3 linked regions of the Caenorhabditis elegans genome follow. The protein of the gene in region 1 purifies or fractionates together with the protein of each later gene. This does not show direct contact. Each region holds a gene or a part of one and is shown in the gene's direction. Other genes may lie near its edges.

Region 1 (4,014 bases):
TCTGAATAAATTAGTTCAATAAGTGTTATTTCCAGAAATTAATCTTACTGGCAGTAAGCATTGATATACTTTGCGGCGAGACTTGTTCGAGGATTATCATCGAATGTTGCACTCAAATCAACTGGCACATCGTTGATTTTGAATCGGATGATCGGAACCTTTGCCGTTTGCACAAACGAAATTCCGCTGACGACATTCTCTCCAAAAATGTTCTGCCCTTCCTTACTGTACATCATGTCTCGAAAAATGGCTTGAAGAATGATTACCGGCAGTCTGCAAAAGTTATTATAAATCGTCAAAAGTAAGGCTGCAAAACGACTTACTGTTTTTTATTTCCTGTTGCCGTCGCACACACACACAGATCAAGATCGCTGTCTTTCGAGGCACAGTGCGTCGGGAAACTTCCAAAAACGCTAAGTCCACGCAATTTGATTCCTTGCGAAGCGAGTTGTTTGGTAACTCCTTCGGATTTCAGGTATTTTCGAACCAACGCCACATAAAGCTTTCGTTCCTCCAACATTGATTGGCTCTGAAAATTTGGATTCAAATTATAAACATGCGAAATCTCTACAATTGGTAAAAATTAACCAGTTTCCCATCCTACCTGTCTTTGATTCATATAAAATATATTTATATCTTGTTCGAGCTGCTTGAGAGAAGGATGATCGCCTTGCAACTGAAAAATTCTAGTACATTAACAAATAATGTGAAAAATAAACTCACAATGCTCTTAAGGCCTTTGAGAAAATCTGGAGACGGTCTGCTCAATTTCTGCACCATCTGGTTCAATAGTGTGATTTTTTCAACAAAAAAAAACAATATGAAACCAGTATTCATTTTCGATTGAACAAATTATTTGAAAAACATTAATAAACATTTCCAAAATTTCATTTCATTGTATCAAATAACACATTATGAGAGATCTCATAGGACAATTACAGTAACTTGAGAATACAGATAAATATGGGATTAGTTTGCTTGTATTTATTGGAATGTTCTTTTGGATTGCAGATCCTTGAGAACTTCCTCTAGTTCAGACTCCTCGATTTTGTTTTCCAAAGAAGGAACTAGTGCTTTGGCTTCTTCGGCATTTTCAGGGCAGAGATTGGCAATCTGCGCAACTTCGAATTTGTGAAGATGCTTCTCGGAGAAAATCGCTCGAACTGCACGGATAGTTTCGCGATTTTTGAATCGAGACATGCGGCGAGCGTAGTTGAGAGTTTTGATGAAGACCTGAATTCGTTTAATATAAAAATGATATTATAAATCAATAAATTTAATCGACTGAAATAGTTTTGAGACTACCTCGCTCATCTCTTCAATTTCGTCTTTGCTTTCACTCGATTGACGACGATGCTCCAGAAGCAAGTAAACCTCAGCGGTCAGAAGAGCGTCGCATGTTGTTGTTTCGAATTCTGAAAATATACCGATTAGGAAAAATCACCAAATTCAAAAACTCAGTAAAAACAAAACAATACCTTTCGGAAATTTGCATTCAGCGGCATCTTCCTCGACTTGTCCATCTGACTTTTGATTTCCTCCACCGGAAGACATTTTCTAAAAATATTTTTTAGATCAGTGACAGTGAGATTTAAGTGAAAAACAATAAAACTGACGGAAATTTATTCAACTATCAGAAAATTGTTTTTAAGACAAAAAATTCTGCAATTCTTACACAGAAAGAGGAGTGAGATAACGTGCGCACACATTGCGTTTCAGTCTCCGCCCACTTTTTTGTGCGGCGAATGTTTATTGTTTATCCGCTCATTTTTTTTATCTTCGATTTTTCTCATTTAATGTCTGATTGCTATTTTTTATGAATATAACTATAGTTAACCCAAAATATTAGTTTGTATTTTCATTTGTTATTAAATTAATTATTTTCAGTGAATCATGGCTGAAGGAAATCAACAAGACGCTTTCCTTGGGCTTGCTCCAGAAGATGAGAGTTTAGTCTTATTGAAATAGATTTGAAATTCAGTTTTACAGGAGAAATTCGCCAAGAGTCTTATTGCCAAGCTCGCTTTGAGCTCGTTGTCGCTTCCTTTGACCGTGACACGTACCCTTATCCAGCTTGGTCATGAACCGTTCCCATTGTCTACAGGAAAGACTCTCGTCATTGCAGGAAGAAATGCGTATTTCCTTCCTAACTTCTTCAGCTATAGTAGGATTCACGAAAATAATCTTCGGTAATGATCATAAATTTAGTGAAGCAATTGGGAACTACTCGTGGATATATCACCCTTTGGACTGGAATCGACTCTGCTATCGCTGCTTTGGCTGTTCAGGGTATTGCTTCTCACCGCACTCAGCAGGTAAACAGTTTTCTCATTGAAAGTTCCTGAAAACCGTAAAAAATTATCTTACAGTACATCGACGAGTACTACCCCAATATTGGAGGACCTCTTTTAAATCAAGATAAAGAAGAGGATGAACTCACCGATGCTGAATCATTCCGAAGAGTTATTCGTAACGGATTCCGCGATTCTGTCATTCGTGTTGTTGCTGTTACTGCTGCACGACCATTTGCTGGTAAGTTAAATTATTTGCGATTAAACTGTATAATAATCTCTTCCAGTCTGCTTTGCTCGTCAAGTTGCTCAAGTTATTGGCAATGAAACTAAATACACTACCTGCGCCCAGGCTCTGGCCGTCATCGGAAAGCAGGAAGGTCCAGGAGGACTTTTCAGCGGACTTGCTCCTCAGATCGTTGGAGAGCTTCTCGTCATTTGGGGAGTTCATCTAATTACTCACGGAATTCAAAGAGCTATTCTCCGCATTGAATTTGGAGACACAAAGAATAAGGACGAAACGAAAGCCAAGGCTGCCAAGGATGTTCACAAGTTCATCCATACTGCTGTTCCATTCCTCGTCAACTCCTTCGGCTACCCATACAGTGTTGTATCCACTGTTATGGCTGTTGCTGGATCAGGTAAGCATGCGAATAACAGTATCTTTTAAAATAAAAGATTATTTCAGGACTAGCCGTTTCGTTCCTCCCATATTCACCATCCTTCAACAACTGGCATGGAGCATGGGACTACCTTCGCCCAATTGGTCTCAAGCGTGGAAACCGCCTGTTCCTTCGTGAACAAGTGGGAGCTGTCACTGTCGGCGTGGATCAACAACTTTACGCTAGCAACTCTTACTTTGCATAAGATTTTCGTCCCCAACTTCATCCAATCTTCGCTATAATGTATTTTTCGAGTTTTGCTAATCCCTTTTCATATACCAATCATCGGTTGTTTTAGACTCAAATCTCATAGAACTAAAATGTTCCTTTAATCCAAACCCGTACTTTAGATTTTCGATTTAAATTTCAACATGTGTCCCGTAATTTATTAGCTTTAGCGTTATCCTATGATGAAGTTAAATCTACAATTTAAAATTTTATAGTTTTTTTTTGTAAACAAACTACACTCAAAATAAAAAAAACTGCGTGGCGTGTACTGCAGAAAACCTCATATTTAGGCCCCGCCTTTTTCTCGTCCACTCACGGAGAAAAGGCAACAATATGGGGGCCAACCGAAAACATCAAGAGAACCCGTGATGGCAAAACGGGGTGATATCTCAACTCCTGTGAAGAGAGCCAACAACCCAACCGCAGTCGCCAGGGTACCCGATGATCCATCCAATCGGCCATGATAGTAGAATTCGACAACAACTTGTCTATATTGCACCGGGAAGCCCATAGCAACTGCTTCGAAACGAGCGACTTGATACGCTAAATGCGACTTCCGTTCTATTTCTGGACCCATTTCACCTTGACTATGAACTTCGAACGAGTGTTCGTTGGAAATCTCATATCGGCATTCTGAAAAATATATGATCTTGTATCATCATTTTACTAGATATGAAGCGCTGTTTTATGTTTCTACATAGTAGATCTTTGGCAAGAAGAATCCCACTGGCCATGTCCATTTTGAGACATAATCACAAACTGGAGGAAAATTCAAATTTTCTAAGTAAAAATGCTCTGGAAACTTCTCGAAAATTCAAAGGAGTTCTAGAATG
Region 2 (2,896 bases), on another chromosome or scaffold:
TTAATGAAACAATTTATTGAAGTTGTAGGCAATTATTATGGCACAAGAAACAATAAAACATGTGAACAGATTAAAACGTATCAAAAATTAATCTCTATGCAAAATACTGGGTGCTAAAAGAAAGGTTTATAGTTTTTTTTTTTGTAATTTATATCATATTATCGATTTTTCAAAAGTTATAGGCTGCCAATAAAAAATTTTGAGAGAACTTTTGCGAAATTTAAAATTTGTGAAGTTTCTCACAAAAAAGTGAAGATCAAAACTTTGTCAAACAGATAATATGATTGCTAGATTTTGGGAACAAAGAATCAAATTATTCCTGCTCGAGTTCAATAAGTACACCTCCACAATCCTTTGGATGCAAGAACATTACTTCTTTTCCATGAGCTCCAATTTTTGGTTTCTCACCCAAAGTACGAATTCCTTTTGTTTTAACAGCAGAAACAGCTTCATGAATATCACGAACTTCAATACAAATATGATGCATTCCACCGTCCTTATTCTTATTCAAAAAAGCTTGAATTGGAGATTTCTCGCCGAATGGATGAAGAAGCTCGATTTTTGAGTTTGGAAGCTCAACGAAGACAGTGTAGACTCCATGTTCTGGTTGTGGCTGTAATTATTCAATTCAAAAATTTTAATATAAACTAGATGAGACATTTTATTTTTTATTTGCGGATTTTTATCATTTTTATGAAAAAACTTGTAATTAAATAAATATTTTTCAAGTAAGTTTACTGTAGTACACAAAATTCGCTTCATTCGCATTTTATTTCATTTTTCAGTTGTAGGGGTTTTTCCAAAATTTTTCGTTTTTTGTTATGCTATTTCAAAATTTTAGGCTATTCAATTTTTATTTTGATTTATGCTACAAAGAATTTAACAAAAATATTTTCTACATATTTTTGCTCTAAATTTTTATTGACATTAGGAAGAAACAAAAATTAAAGACTAACCACAGCCTCGCTAACTTTTGCTCCGAGGCCCTTGTAGAATTCCGATGATTTCTTGAGATCTGGTGTGGCAATGGCGACGTGGTTCAACTTTCCGAGAAGTCCTGCCAATGGATGGGAAGCCATGGTCTGAAAAGTCAAAATTTTTAAAGTAAAAAAGCGATTATCTAATAGTTTTCATCAGAAAAAATAGAAAAACCTACTCTTGTGGACAGCGAAAGCTTAGCAGAATTGACAAGGGCGAGTGTAGAACGGAAGGATGCCATTTTCAAAAGAAGAATCTATAAACATGGTTACTGTACTTTAATAAAATTTATAAAACTCGAAAAATGCTAAGTAATAAGCGTTTAAATGATTGAAACATCTGTGAGAAAATGAAAAGTAACAGAAACAAACAAAAGTTTAGATAAGAAAATGTTTTTGACATTGAAAATTCGGTCAATGAACCCGCTGTAAACTTGCTTTTTGCACGCACTCACTTTGATTACAACGACACTCCGATATTACACAAGTGCTTGTTGTTTATCTTATTTTATTTCGGGCAATTTTTGTGCCAATTTTCAGCTTTACTTTGTTTTTAACGTTTTAGAAGAATATTTTCCGGAAAAATATGTTAAATTATTAAAATATAAATTGTTCACTTCTTATCAGCAAAGCATTCGCTGCCCTAAGCATGCTAATTATTTATTTTGAGTTGATTCAAATATCAGAAGAGTTTTGATGCTTTCTTTATTTTGTACCAATTCCTTTTTTTTCAGCCAAGATGGGAACTAAACTGTCCGTCTCATTGGAAGGAGCCAGTACACCAGAAACCGCGCCACGTGTCGACAGACCACCAACTTTCGATCCTCAGTATGGATTCGAGCGACCGAGAAAGGTAAACAACTTTTTTAAAAGTTCATTAAATAACTGTTCATTTAATTCATAAATATTCAATATAATAAAGTTTAATATTCAAGGTCCGCGAGATGAAGGCTACTTGGGAAGAGATGGAGCAGTGGAAGTTGAAGCCAGCTCAACGCGATTATTGTGCTCACCACTTGATTTCACTCATGAAATGCCAAGTAAGATTTTTGTTTTAGTTACAATGATATATTTTTAAAATTATATAAAAATACACATCTAAAATTATTTTCTCAAAAACAGCAAAAATAATTTATTATATTCAGACCCAAAATGCACCATTTGCCGGACACGCGTGCGACGGAGAACGTGGAGCTTGGGATAAATGTGAATATGATGATCATATCATGAGAATCAAAGAATTCGAACGTGAACGACGATTGCTTCAAAGACAGGCTCGCAAAGAAGCCACTGCTTGAATAGATGTCGATGAGATATTTCTTTAAATGATTTTTGATAATAGTATAGTTTTTTGTGAATACTATGTGTCTTTTGTTTCGTTTCTTTTTCTCTCGATTTCGGATAAATATTGAGTCGTACACTTTTTTTTAATGTTGAAAATTTTTTTGTTGTTCGTATCATTTGTAATATATCTATGCTATAATGATTCCGATTAGTTTTCCATATTATAATTTAAAAACACCTTTCAGAGATGACCGAAATCCGAAAAGTCGTCCAAGAAACAATGGTTGGAAAACCAGAAGACGAAATTCAGGTTAGAAATTGTCAAATTTTTTTGAATTATCTAAAAACCTACATATTCTGTCATGGATCCATTCATCAAATAAGTTTCAGACTTTCGAAAAATGTCTCCGTCTCGTTGGATCCAATCGAACACGTAAAGAACAAGAACTAGGATTTTGTCTTATGTCGAGAATGATCATCAAATGTTCTTCACAAACTCTACGAGCAGTTCAATCGCGATTGGCTAATCGACTTGCTCATATCTCGGATCATTTTCAATTATGTGGATCACTTTATACTCGAGAACTTCTTGTTAGAAATCCGCAAGCTGGAGAACTTCATTCTCCAATTGTATT
Region 3 (3,244 bases), on another chromosome or scaffold:
TCAAAAAATCTCCGAAAAAAAAAACTGAAAATCGCTCGAAAATTCAATTTTTCATTGGGTTTTCTAAAGTTAATTCTGTTTCGTATAAAATAATCAATTTTCCAATTTTTTCAGCGAAATTTCGAACCTTAAGCCTCTTCATTCCAGCTTGTCGATTTCCAGCCTCCAAATCATTAATTACACTGGTTTCCACATTTGTGATCAGAGTTTCAATTTCTCGATTCAAGAAAAACGACGATTTTTCCACTTTATTAATCCGCCAGTCGAGTCCTCGTTCGTTGCCAGTGAGCTTGTCGTGTTTCTTTAAAATCTTCCGAAATCCGGTAGCATTCAATTGCTGAAAGTTCTGAACCAGCACCAGAGAAAGATAAAACTCGGAGAATGCGAGTTTCAGCTGCTGCTCATTCCGTGTGGTCTCCTTATGGAATTTGTCTTTTCCTCCGAACCTTCTACGGATCCCTGTGGTATCGCTGCGAGACCCAAGAACATCCTTGAACACTTGTAGTTCGGTTTGAAGCTCGTGATGTTTTCCCTGTCCTTCAGCGATTTTTTGCGAGAAGAATAGGTTGATCTTGGTGAGCTCTTGGTCGCACTCGTTGAAAAATTTCTCGTCGAGCCGGGAAATGTGCTCTTCTCGGCGGTCATCGTCGGCGGGAACCTCCATCATATCATCGTATAATAGATTTTTGAGCCGCTCATAGTCAATGTATTGTTTCCGCCACTCGGGCGTCAAGTGGCTCGCTAGTTGCTCGCCGAACTTCATCTAAAATCGGGAAAATGGGAATAACTTACAACACGGCCATCGCCGGAGCCTAAATCAATGAGCGTTCCCTTCTTGTTGCTGTTGCTGCTCGTGGCGAGTGAAAGTGCGCGGGAGACGTTCGCGAGCTGCTCCGTCGTTGCTGGGACGTACGGAATGCAGACGCGTCGCAGAGCGGGCGCCACGAACGGAATTGCGGCCGCCGAGATGGCGAGCGCCGTTGCGCCAGCCACACCGGCAATCACCAGACCTGTGTTCATGCCCATACTGCAAAAAAACACAATCTCGAGGGGAACACTCATTGATTTAAATCATGATTTTTTATTTGTTTTAAAATTTATTATTTTTAAGTTTAAATTATCTTTATTTTTCAAAGGATTATTGTTTTTGAATATTTAAAATTAAAATTCATACCCACCTTTATTCTTCAATCGATTTTCTTCGGAATAAGATGAAGTTTCTCATCAACGATTCAAATTTTCTACCTGAAAACAGAAAAAAAATGTTTAAAACGATTTTCAGGCCTAAAACAGTGCAAAACACTGGAAATATATCGATTTACGCATAAATTGCACTCGACAGAATCAAAATTTAAATTCGTACTTTTCGCGAAAAAGAGATAGACAACGAAATTCGATAAGGGCACATGCGACTAAAAATCGGGAGCTCAGTGCACCGGAAGTGCGCAAGCAGTTGATGATTGCGCAAACGAGTGGCTACTGGCGCGTTTTCGGATGGGTCGGATTTATTTTCTGCAATTTCTGTGCGATTTTTATTAATTTTTTGCGTTTCCCACCGTATTTTCCAACCAAATTTCTGAATTTTTATATAAAATTGTCGTAATTTGCATGGTTCCGACGTTGAAAATCACCAAAACCCAGGTTAAAATTCGTTTTTTAAAAAGGGGGTTTACTTTATAAAGATATGCAATTTTGGAATTTCAGTTTTGCTAATTTTTCGTGGTTTCTTAGAGTTTTTCTATTGAAGATTGTTAAAGATCTTGTAAAGAAGATGTTAAGTCGGTAAACATTGCAAAACTTTTAATTTTCCTCAATTTTCGCTAATTTTTTGCGTTTCTTTATGATTTTTATTTTAAAATTAGGTTTTTCGGGTATCGATTTGTTAATTTTTTAGCTAAAAATATATTACATAAACAAAAGTTTCTTCAAACTTATATTTCTCTCTTATTCCGATTAAAAACTAAATTACCTTTCAACTTCCAGGTAAATATGTTGTCCAGAACACTCCGACCGATCTCCAAGGTGCTCAGAAGCAGCGCGAAGTACTCCCAGGCCGCAGGTAATCTGAAAATTAAGATTTTCCTCAAAATCATATCAAAATTTTCAGGTCTTCCATTAAACGAGGGAAGCCCGGCACCATTGCCATCAGAAGACAGAGCAATCTCCGCAAAAGTCAGCTCGTTGGTTGAAGAAATCGCGAATCTCAGCCTGCTCGACGTCTCCGATCTTAACTGGGCTCTCAAGAAGCGGCTCAACATTCCAGATCAACCATTGATGGCTGCTGCCGCTGCTGCTCCAGCCGCTCAGGGTAAACATTATTTATTATAGTTTAATAAAATTATTTATTTATTTTCATTATTTTTCAGCCGAAGCGGAAGCCGCATCAGACGTTCCACAAAAAATGACATTCACTGTGAAATTAACGAAATTCGATGATACCAAGAAGATCGCAATCATCAAGGAGATCCGTAACGCCATTCCAGGCCTCAATCTCGTTCAGGCCAAGAAGTTTGTGGAAACCGCACCGGTAAATGTTAAGGAGGATCTTGGAAAGGCAGAAGCCGATGAGTTGAAGGCTATTCTGGAGAAGGCTGGAGCTACCATTGAAATTGTTTAATTTTTTGTTCTATATTTCCCTCTTTTCATTTGTTGTGTTCTCATTTTCTTCAAATTTTTCGTAGATAGTGTAGCATTTCTTTTTGTTAAGTTTTATTTTATTTTATGGAAAAATAATTAATTTCAAAAATAATTAAATTTACACCCGGCAAGAAGAGAAATACACGTCCCATGATAGAAATACTATTGGATAGATTCTGGAGAAGCTGCTGGAGAAGATCAAAAATCGGTAGTCTCATTTGAAGAAGTGTCAAGACCTGCAATTTGGGAAAATTACCGGAAGCCTGTATGGGTACAAACCTCCGCGTCCGAATACTTTCAGCGACATTCCGAATTGAAGAACTCGCATATCCTTTTCGGATAATTGGCCGAACGAGATCGCGTGGTCGGAACATTTTCCGGCTTTTGTGGGACTTGAACGGAACAATTTCGAGTCTGGCGCAATTATTTGTTTTGGTGGAAGATCGTTGAATAGTCGGAGAGCATCTTCATCAAATGGATCAGCTATCTGGACACCGTACTTCTCGCTGCAGTCGTAGAGAGCGAAATCCGAGGCTCGCGAGAAGAAAAATCCTCTGAAAATCATGAAATCAAACATTTTTAGAATTTATTCGGGAGTTTTCCAGAA

What was found. The genes of interacting proteins can lie anywhere in the genome.
Region 2: the proteins of mtch-1 (region 1) and ndub-7 fractionate together in Caenorhabditis elegans (co-fractionation; one large-scale study listed by BioGRID). This does not show direct contact.
Region 3: the proteins of mtch-1 (region 1) and mrpl-12 fractionate together in Caenorhabditis elegans (co-fractionation; one large-scale study listed by BioGRID). This does not show direct contact.

The regions. Positions count from the first base shown.
Region 1 is NC_003280.10:7,372,046-7,376,059, reverse strand, and holds mtch-1 (Mitochondrial carrier), read left to right. Parts: upstream 1-1,893; coding exon 1,894-1,943; intron 1,944-1,988; coding exon 1,989-2,164; intron 2,165-2,208; coding exon 2,209-2,315; intron 2,316-2,369; coding exon 2,370-2,532; intron 2,533-2,578; coding exon 2,579-2,932; intron 2,933-2,979; coding exon 2,980-3,158; 3' UTR 3,159-3,445; downstream 3,446-4,014. Other genes in the region: F43E2.1 (Poly(A) RNA polymerase mitochondrial-like central palm domain-containing protein), read right to left, coding at 1-1, 49-273, 324-529, 605-676, 724-780; rpb-4 (RNA polymerase Rpb4/RPC9 core domain-containing protein), read right to left, coding at 985-1,233, 1,306-1,415, 1,479-1,554.
Region 2 is NC_003279.8:7,580,444-7,583,339, reverse strand, and holds ndub-7 (NADH dehydrogenase [ubiquinone] 1 beta subcomplex subunit 7), read left to right. Parts: upstream 1-1,711; 5' UTR 1,712-1,716; coding exon 1,717-1,830; intron 1,831-1,912; coding exon 1,913-2,017; intron 2,018-2,122; coding exon 2,123-2,275; 3' UTR 2,276-2,396; downstream 2,397-2,896. Other genes in the region: mce-1 (Methylmalonyl-CoA epimerase, mitochondrial), read right to left, coding at 314-613, 957-1,082, 1,157-1,219; D2030.3 (Fanconi anemia group I protein), read left to right, coding at 2,509-2,571, 2,652-2,896.
Region 3 is NC_003281.10:10,705,778-10,709,021, forward strand, and holds mrpl-12 (Mitochondrial Ribosomal Protein, Large), read left to right. Parts: upstream 1-1,983; 5' UTR 1,984-1,989; coding exon 1,990-2,059; intron 2,060-2,107; coding exon 2,108-2,308; intron 2,309-2,366; coding exon 2,367-2,617; 3' UTR 2,618-2,744; downstream 2,745-3,244. Other genes in the region: Y39A1A.21 (ATP synthase subunit C lysine N-methyltransferase), read right to left, coding at 793-1,026; Y39A1A.22 (Xenotropic and polytropic retrovirus receptor 1 homolog), read right to left, coding at 128-763; W09D10.5 (N-acetylgalactosaminide beta-1,3-galactosyltransferase), read right to left, coding at 2,836-2,873, 2,917-3,191.